2 linked regions of the Macaca mulatta genome follow. The protein of the gene in region 1 interacts with the protein of each later gene in a biochemical or structural test. Links are inferred from orthologs where the notes say so. Each region holds a gene or a part of one and is shown on either strand. Other genes may lie near its edges.

The links. The genes of interacting proteins can lie anywhere in the genome.
Region 2: the proteins of IPO13 (region 1) and MAGOH form a complex in vitro, tested with the Homo sapiens proteins (2 studies listed by BioGRID and IntAct). The link is inferred for Macaca mulatta from reciprocal best matches to the Homo sapiens genes IPO13 and MAGOH.

The regions. Positions count from the first base shown.
Region 1 is NC_133406.1:196,691,260-196,695,620, reverse strand, and holds part of IPO13 (importin-13), read left to right. Parts: intron 1-146; exon of another isoform or gene 147-450; coding exon 451-531; exon of another isoform or gene 532-1,072; coding exon 1,073-1,210; coding exon of another isoform or gene 1,211-1,247; exon of another isoform or gene 1,248-1,334; coding exon of another isoform or gene 1,335-1,362; coding exon 1,363-1,459; exon of another isoform or gene 1,460-1,588; intron 1,589-1,882; exon of another isoform or gene 1,883-2,385; intron 2,386-2,541; exon of another isoform or gene 2,542-2,643; intron 2,644-4,361. UniProt on the Homo sapiens protein: Functions in nuclear protein import as nuclear transport receptor. Serves as receptor for nuclear localization signals (NLS) in cargo substrates.
Region 2 is NC_133406.1:187,368,213-187,373,333, reverse strand, and holds the start of MAGOH (protein mago nashi homolog), read right to left. Parts: upstream 2,995-5,121; 5' UTR 2,922-2,994; coding exon 2,834-2,921; intron 1-2,833. UniProt on the Homo sapiens protein: Required for pre-mRNA splicing as component of the spliceosome. Plays a redundant role with MAGOHB as core component of the exon junction complex (EJC) and in the nonsense-mediated decay (NMD) pathway.

The DNA.
Region 1 (4,361 bases):
TCTACTCCTCCGTAAGCTGGCAGAGCAGCTTAAGCCTGCATCTGTGCATTCCTTGGGGCTCCCTACCTCAAGCCTATTTGGAGGAGATAACATCTGCTCTTCTTCAGAGGCTAGTCCATAGCCTTGGTTTTACAGAGCAGTGATAGGGGGTGATTTTTTTTTTTAAGTCTACAAAGTTTTTGTAACCTTATGAAGCACTTGTGATATCTCTGCTTTGCAGTTTGAGGCTTCCTTTGAGATGATCCCTAGAATTCAGGATATCCTCCTTTTTCATTCATGAGAGAGTTCAGCAAACCACTTCTTCCCCTAGGTGACCCATGCACTGGGTCTTCAGTGTGCATTCTGGGGTAATAGGTTTGAACTGCTCCCCTCCTCCCTGCTACCAAGTCCTTCTCAAGTGGGTCACAGTGATCAATAGCAGAAGCACTTCACTTCTTCCTGTGTCTTCAGGTGGTGGTGGTGCTGCAGCAGGTCTTCCAGCTTATCCAGAAGGTGCTGAGCAAATGGTTGAATGATGCCCAGGTTGTGGAGGTGAGCCCTGACCCTTGTCCTCTGCTCCCACAGTGACTGCTCAGAGGTGTAGCAGGGTAAGATGTTACTGCCACACGTCAGCTTACAATGGTTTGGAGAAACAAGGGAGGTGAATCCTGCCCCATAGAGATAAGGAATCTTTTGGGAAGACATTTAGAACTCCCCAATATGAGAAGTGCTTAACGCAAGAACTGTAATATTAGGGTCGAGTGACACTCAGGCATCTGTTTTAGCACCAGAGACCTGCCTTTGGTCCCTTTTCAATTCAGGTTTTTGTTGCTGTTGCTGCTCCCTGAGAGGAAATGGTAGAGATGTAAGTAGCAGGAGTTAAGTTCTACAGTTACATCCTTTGCCCCTCAGTGAAGGGCCTTTGCCCCTGCCTTTCAGGGTAAGGGTCAGACTTGCTTACGTTCTTTTGTTTGCAGGGCCAGGCAAGGCTTATAGGTAAGGGCCCGATTTTAGGCCCCCTCTGTGCAGGGCTTCAGCGCTGTTCCAGCCAGTCATGACCTGCTGACCAGGGCCCCTTTGTTTTCTTCCCAAGGCGGTGTGCGCTATCTTTGAGAAGTCTGTTAAGACGCTGCTGGATGACTTTGCCCCCATGGTGCCACAGCTGTGTGAGATGCTGGGTCGGATGTACAGCACCATCCCCCAGGCCTCTGCTCTTGACCTCACTCGACAGGTGGGCCTTCTGGTTGGGGCAGAGCTCCTGACCCTGGGTGGGGGTGGGTCAGATGGCTGCTGTGGCTGGGGTCCCCACTTGCATTCCAGGGATATTGCTCTATCCTGGTGAGACTGGGTCTCAGCTGACCAGCATTCCCTGCTTTCTTGTAGCTGGTCCACATCTTTGCTCATGAGCCTGCCCACTTTCCCCCAATTGAGGCCCTCTTCCTGCTCGTCACCTCCGTCACACTCACTCTCTTCCAGCAAGGTAGGTCCTGACCAGGGTCTCTGCTGCTGCTGCCACTGCCACTGCCTCTGCTTCCCCAAATGGGGAGCCAAAGCTGCCCACTCTGTTCTTCTCTGTCCCCTGAGTCACACGTGGGACTTGATGGGAAACCTGTGAGATCAAGCACAGCACCTTACAAATAGTTGAAACCTTAGGTTGAAGTGGATAAGAGGGTGAATGATGTCTTCTGCTGGCCTGCTGGGCTCAGGGCCAGTCTGGATATGGAAGAAGGAGGTGGGGGTGGGAGGTGGGCAGAGGCTCTGAGGGACTTGGGGCACTGGGCTGGCTCCTTTACTTTGGGATATAACGAAAAGTGGAAAGAGCACGGGCTTTTGAAGTCAACTAGACCTAGATTCTAAGTTCATCACCACCAACTAGTTGTGTGTCCTTGGGCAAGTCACTTACCTTTGCTGGGCCTTCATTTCCATATCTGTGAAACGGAGATACCATATACTTGAAATGAGTGTTTACAGGTGTTAAAGTCACATCTTCTGGGCCCCTGGCTCGGGGGCTTTTGCACAGTGAAGTACTCAGAGACCGCTTGTTCCTTTCCCCGCATCAAGGCTTAGTCCTTTCTAGGCCTGAAGTCGAGTACCTTTGGCTGTGGTCCTAGCCCTCCATTCACTGTGGCCCTTTGCCTGAGAGAGTTGGGAGCAGGGGCTTCATTCAGGCTTCTCGTGTTGTCTAATCCAGGCTTCCAATTTGGAGAAACAAAAACAAACAAAAAAAAACAACACTGCTCAGCTAGCCTCATGAGCCTTGCCTGGATTCGTGGTCACGGGTTTGAGGCTCCCCAGGGGTCTCGGTTGGCGCCCAGAGTACTTGCAGCTCATATCCTCAGTGCTTGGTCTCATGATCCTGGCCTCTGTTTCTGTGGGCCATGGAGTAGGTCCAAACTGGGGAGAAAACTGAACCAGAAACCTGGTGTGGTCATCCTCAACTCCACCTCTCCCACTCCCTGTACCCAATCTGGGACAAGCCCCATTGATCCTGGCTCCTGATTCTCTCTCGGTCGGTCCACTTCTACCCACCTCTGTGGCCACTGCCTCAGTTTAGGGTCTCACCTGGATTATCAGCAACCTTCTAGTGGGTTTTCTTGACATCTCCCCTTCTCTCCAATCTGTTCTGCACACTGCAGCTATAATCTTCATGAAAACACAAATCTGAGCATTTGTCTTCCCAGGCTTAAAACCCTTTCATTGTTCCCATTGCCCTCAGCTTATTGTTCCATTCCCACCCACGTGACAAGGCTCTGTCATGCCTCTCCTGTCCTCTCCTGCTGATGTCCTCATGACTCCAACATTCCAGCCACACTGCCTCTTCCTTACTGTGTCCCATTTGATCCCTGTGCCTTGCTCCTCTGACTGGAATGTCCTATGCCCTTTACTGGGTGAACTCTCACTCCTTCATGCCTTACAAAAGAGGAGGACTGCATCACTTCTCAAAGTAATTTTTCTGAGGCAGAATTGGGTGCTTCTAACTGTACTGAAACTGCATCCCGTACACACTGCTGAAACAGCACCGATCACACACAATAATCAGCTTTCATGTCTATCTCTCTTACTAGACTAAGCCCCTCAAGGGTAGGGTTGAGTTTCTTCTCTCTGCATCCCCAGTGCCCAGAATGAGGCCAGAATACAGCAGGCCACAGACGCTGTTAAGTAAAGGAGAGGGAAGGCTCCCTGCCCTTGGAACCTTCTCACTGTCTGGCCCACCTCTAACAGGGTGGCTGCTGAATATCAAACCTGCAGGGTGCACATTGGGCCTCACTTTCTAGGACTTAAATAACTCAGAGTTCAGATACCAAAGGAACAGGCTTTATTTACTGGTGACTCTTCATAGCCTAGAGAAGGAAGCAGGGCAGAGATTATCTGCTTTACAGATGGGGAAACTGAGCATTTGTGGCTTGCGCAAGATCACACAGCTACTTAGTGGTGTCTTAGGCAGATGGTTTTGCACCACATCCTCCTCAGAGTGGAGAAGCCTGGGTAGGAGCTCCAGGTGCATGCCATATTCTTGCCTCAGGAATCATCAGAACTGGAGGCAGAAGTGTCCAACATCATATTTGTTGGGCTTGTTGGTTGTCTCACTGGACAGGATGGCTCCCATACCTGTTACGCCATCCCAATCTTAGCCATTCCTTCCTCGGGCTCTGCCTTCCCACTGGACCATGGGATGACACGTTGACTGCTTTCCCTATTTCTTGGCATGTCCAGATGATGGGAACTAGTCCTCAGCCCTGAGCTTGGCTCTCTGCTGAGTCTGTGTCCATGTGGAGGAGCTTTGCTGGGGTGGGGCTCTTGTTTTCGGCCTTATGATGCTGTTTCCTCCTCTGGTTCCCTGCCAGTGACTTGCCAGGCCATCTCCAGAGCATGCTGGGCACTGCCATACCTAAGCAAGAGTCCTCTGGTTTAAGTGGACCAAATAGATTATTTTCCTTTGCCAGATCAAGAGCCCTAAGGCCATTGAAGTGAGGTGGCACTTACTCAGGCTCTGATGCCCTGGCCTTTCTAGGGCCCTCAGATAAACCACAAAAAAGAGATACCAAGGACTGACCCCCCCCACCCCCACCTGCCATCCCGGCTCTCCTCTTCAATAACTGGCTGCTGGGAGGTATGTGCTAGGAGCGGTGTAGGGCTACCCCAACCTGCCAGAGGCCACAGTAAGTGTGGTGGCCATTTCTTCAGCTATGTGGAGTCCAGAATTGCTCAAGTACCAAGGGAACACGAGGGGATGGCCCGAGGAGGAGTGGGGAGTAGGCGGAAGGCCCCTTGGAGGGAGCTGGGGCAGGCCCGTCCTTCACTTTGCCGTCTCTTTCTGTTGGGCTTCTCCCAGTTCATGGTTTTTGTATGTTTTGTTTCTTTATCTTGCTTCCTGCTGCTCA
Region 2 (5,121 bases), about 9.3 Mb from region 1:
ATATACAGCTGACACTCAACTACTGCAAAAAGCAGCTCAGGTGAGGTAAAAACACAGGCAGGCTCTTTTCTGACTTTGTCGAATCACATTTTTGCAGGTGAATGTCCTGAAAACAGGCAGAGTAAATGATAACTTACCAGCACATAGGACCTCCTGAGGCTCAAATGAGTTGTGAAAACATTTTGAAAACTGTAGGATGCTGTTTACATATATTATCATGTGACTGTGCCACACTCTATTTCTGTGATGGAAAAGTTGTTGCTTTTATCACTGAGCACATTTGGTACACAAGACCCTTTGTCCATGTGTGCGTCTAACAGGTTAATGTGAATACATGGTGGGGATGAGGAGAAGATAGAAGGAAACAGAAGACATGTAGACTAGAAGACATACATGTGAGATGAGCCCAGTGAATTTATTCCAACGGTCTCTGTGCTGTCTCTCTGCCTCAAGTTTCTTCACATTCAGTTCACTGTCCATATAGTGGACAAGGTGATGTGGTAACAGATCTATCAGATTAGGTTACTCTAATACTTTGATAAAGTCAATGGCTTTCCGCTGCCTTCCTGGTTAAAATCCGGCCGGGCGCGGTGGCTCACGCCTGTAATCCCAGCACTTTGGGAGGCCGAGGCGGGCAGATCACGAGGTCAGGAGATCGAGACCATCCTGGCTAACACGGTGAAACCCCGTCTCTACTAAAAATGTAAAAAATTAGCCAGGCGTGGTGGCGGGCGCCTGTAGTCCCAGCTACCTAGGAGGCTGAGGCAGGAGAATAGCGTGAACCCGGGAGGCGGAGCTTGTAGTGAACCCAGATCGTGCCACTGCACTCCAGCCTGGGCAACTGAGCAAGACTCCATCTCAAAAAAAAAAAAAAAAAAAAAATCCAAACTCCTCAACATGGCATACGGCTAAGCAAAGCCCCTGCCTGCTTTTCCAGCCTCACTCCTGCAATATTCTTCTCTCACACAGCTGGAGTCGAACAACTTGGTTTCTGCCTGAAACATCCCAAGCACTTTTTGGTTTTCAGCCTCTTTGCATGCTGTCTAAAATGCCTTCTTGACTCTTCTTGGTCTCCTAACCAATACCTCACATCCCCTCCTCCCATCATTTTATGTAGGAAGCCTCCTCTGACCCTCAGGCTTGGCTAGGTGCCCCTTCTCTGCTGCAAGTCTCCTCTGTTTCTTTTTACCACAACACCTAATACGCTGTTTGGTCCCTGCTTACAAATCCATCTCCCTCACAGTCGGGGCCTGTCAGATACATCTTTGTGGCCCGCTTAATGGATGTTTTCTGTCATCTTTGATTCCTCTTTCCTTCACCACAGTGCCTCCGCCAAAAAAATCCTATCAACGATCAAAGTCCAGTTGATTCTGCCTCCAACAGTTTCCTAAATCTTTCTCTCCATTTCTACTATCTCTGTAGTCCCAACCGACATCTTTTTTTTTTTTTTTTTTTTGTGACACAGTCTCGCTCTGTCACCCAGACTGGAGTACACTGGCACTATCTCAGCTCACTGCAACCTCCGCCCCAGGTTCAAGCGATTATCCTGTCTCAGCCTCCCGAACAGCTGGGATTACAGGCATCTGCCACCACGTCCGGCTAATTTTTGTATTTTTAGTAGAGGCGGGGTTTCACCATGTTGGCCAGGCTGGTCTCGAACTCCTAACCTCAAGTTATCCGCACACCTCAGCCTCCCAAAGTCCTGGGATTACAGGCGTGAGCCACTGCGACTGGCCCCCAACATCTTTCTTGTCTTGACAACAGTCTCCTAATCAATAGCCCTGTTTTCACTGTTGCCCATTCCGCACCCAATAACCAGAATGCTTTTTCAAGAACAGATCACATTTCTTCTCTGCTTAAAACCTTCCAAGCCCGGCCAGGCGCGGTGGCTCACGCCTGTAATCGCAGCACTTTGGGACACCGAGGCCGGCGGATCGCCCGAGGTCAGAAGTTCGAGACCAGCCTGGCCAACCTGGTGAAACCCTGTCTCTACTAAAAATACAAAATTAGCCGGGCGTGGTGGTGGGTGTCTGTAATACCAGCTACTCGGGAGGCTGAGGCAGGAGAATCGCTTTAACTCGGGAGGCGGAGGTTGCAATGATCCGAAATCGCGCCATAGCATTACAGCCTGGGCAAAAAGAGCGAAACCCGTCTCAAAAAAAAAAATAAATAAAATAAAAAAAGCCTTCCAAGTCCAAACTCTTTACCATGGTCTATAAAGATCTACAAGGTGCGGCTCCTACTACCTATCCGACATCATCTCCTGCCATCTCCCAGCTCACCACTCTTCAATCACACTGACCACCTGAGACATGCCTAAGCTCATTCCCGCCCTGCAGCCTTGACTTCTGGTATTCCCTTTGGGTAGAATGGTCTTCCTTGTGAGCTTCACAAGGCTGGGTCCTTCTTGCTAATTAGGGCTCAGCTGCAATATACCATTAGAGCTCTCTAATGGCCAACCTATCTAAAAGCAGCCCATCCAGCGATTCTACCATATTTTCTGACCACTCACTGCTATCCGGAATCATCTTTTTATGATCTCTCTCCCAGCAGTAAAACACAAGTTCCACGAGAGAGGAAGTTTGTCTATCTTCGCTGTCGTATCCCCAAAGAGTGGAACAGAGCCTGGCACACAGTGGGCGTTCAGCCAACGTTTGTTGTATGGATAAAACGACGCCGTGGAGCAGACACAGTGGCGCTCCTTTCAGATCCGCACTGCACAGGTCTCAGCCCCTTCCTCCTCTAGTTCCCCACAGATTTCCGACCCTCGGCCTCCCCACTCGCCCGCCCCAAGGCCTGGTCCCGCTCCCGGCGGGCGGCAGGCTGCTTTTACCATCCGGTCGGAACTCAAACTCCAGGAACTCGTGGCCGAATTTGCCCTTGTGCCCCACGTAGTAACGCAGATAAAAGTCACTCTCCATGGCTCCCAAAAGACAACCGAGCCTGAACTTCCAACAGCAAGCCGCACTGCTGCGGTCTGCGCCCGACACTGACGTTTGCGGCGGCGCGCGGAAGTGACGTCAGATTACGCCGTCGCGTAATGGAGGGGTTCCTTCTAGCTAACCTATTCGCCCGGAAGTGACAACAAGACTGCCACACCCTCTCACGCCTAGGAGGTAACGAACTTTGTTTAACCCGGAGGCGGGGCCAACCAGCTCCGCTTCTCCACCTGGACGCGGGAGCGAGGTTGAGGTTGGTACCCGCTGGGTTCTCTCCCGGCCTGAGGCCGAGAGCCAGCCGCCTGCCTACCTCTGGGCTTTGAACGCGGGGTCTGGTGACTTCGCTTAAAGATCTCGGACCGAACACCCCGAGCCTTGCCCCCGCCAGGCTCAACCTCAGTTCACAGGACCCCCGACTTGTGTGAGTCGTACACCGCTCTTTACCGTCTCTGGACCTAGGTCATCTCGGCAGTAAAATGGGGTGAAATGACCCGACCTTCCCGGAGGATGCCGCGCACGATGTGTGTGCCTCAAGATGGCTTCCATTGACCTGAACTGTTAAGAAAGCCCTCAGTGACGCCTTCCCTGAATCCACAGTGGAGATTGCCGTTTCCCTGGAACTAGTTCACCCACACTTACCCATTTCGTCCTTTTCCACCTTTTATTTCTATCTTTCTGCCCCACTGATCTCTAGAATAGGTGCTGTGAGAAGTTAGAGTATTTGATCTCCCACTCCCCAGTCATCCCACTTACCGAGCAGTGATTCTCAGCCTGGCTGCACATTGGAATTACCTGGGGAGCCTCTAAAAATACTGATGCCAGGGCTCTACCCCAAGCCAATTAAAATCTCCAGCGCTGGAACTGGGCATTGGTACTCTTTGTAAAGCTCTCAGTTGAGGACCACTGACCAAAGAGACTCTTTTCAGAGCAAAGTTGTCCTCTGTGAAGCCATTCTGGCTCTGGAAAAAATTTACAGTTGAGTAGGGCCAGAGCAATCAAGATCATAATTATTTAATAGGAGCCTGCTCTCACTCGTCTAAGTTCCACACTTAGAGAGAATGAATGGTTCTAGAGACAGTGCTGAGATGACATCATTCTTGGGGCCTGGCAACTAGAACAGTATAAGATTCTGTAAGTCGGGACAGCAGTCTCTGATTCCTACCCCCAGTCTTTTTTTTTTTTTTTTTTTTTGAGACAGAGTTTTGCTCTTGTTGCCCAGGCTAGAGTGCAACGGCTGGTTCTCAGTTCACCGCAACCTCCACCTCCTGGGTTCAAGTGATTCTCCTGCCTTAGCCTCCCAAGTAGCTGAGATTACAGGCACGTGCCACCACATCCAGCTAATTTTTGTATTTTTAGTAGAGACAGGGTTTCACCATGTTGGCCAGGCTGGTCTCAAACTCCCGACCTCAGGCGATCCATCCGCCTCAGCCTTCCAAAGTGCTGGGATTACAGGCATGAGCCACCGTGCATGGCCCCCAGTCTTAACAATGAGTCCTTTTCTCCCTGAAAAAGCATTAGCAGCAGAGTGTAGAGTAGGTGTGGTGGGGGAAAAAAACCATTGGACACTGGTTAAAATCTTTTGTTTTAACAATGACTCATTGTAACCAAAGGTGAACTGACTCAACTTTTTAGACTTCAGAGTTTCCTTCTCTTTAAAATGAGCATAAAAACGTACACCTAGCAGAACTGTTATAAGAAACAATGTCTCGGAAACTGTAAATTGCTATAAAACCATGACATTTTTATTACAAAACACCGCATATTGGTAGTAACAAGGGAACTGTATAAAAGAGAAGGGGGCTAGACACAGTGGCTCACACTTGTAATCCCAGCAGTTTGGGAGGCTGAGGCAGAAGGATCACTTGAGCCCAGAAGTTTGAGACCAGCTTGGGTAACATAGAGAGACTTTGTCTCTACAAAAAATTTAAAAATTAGGTAGGTGTGGTGGTGCACACCTGTAGTCCCAACTACTTGGGAGGCTGAGGTAGGAGGATAATTTGAGCCTGGGAGGTCAAGGCTGCAGCGAACCATGATCATACCACTACACTCCAGCCTGGGTGACGAAGCAAGACCCTATCTAAAAAAAAAAAAAAAAAAAAAAAAAAAAAAAAAAAAGAGAAAAGGGAACCATCAAGCACCTAATAAATGTCAGCTCCTAGGCTGAATGGGATTACCTGTGCTT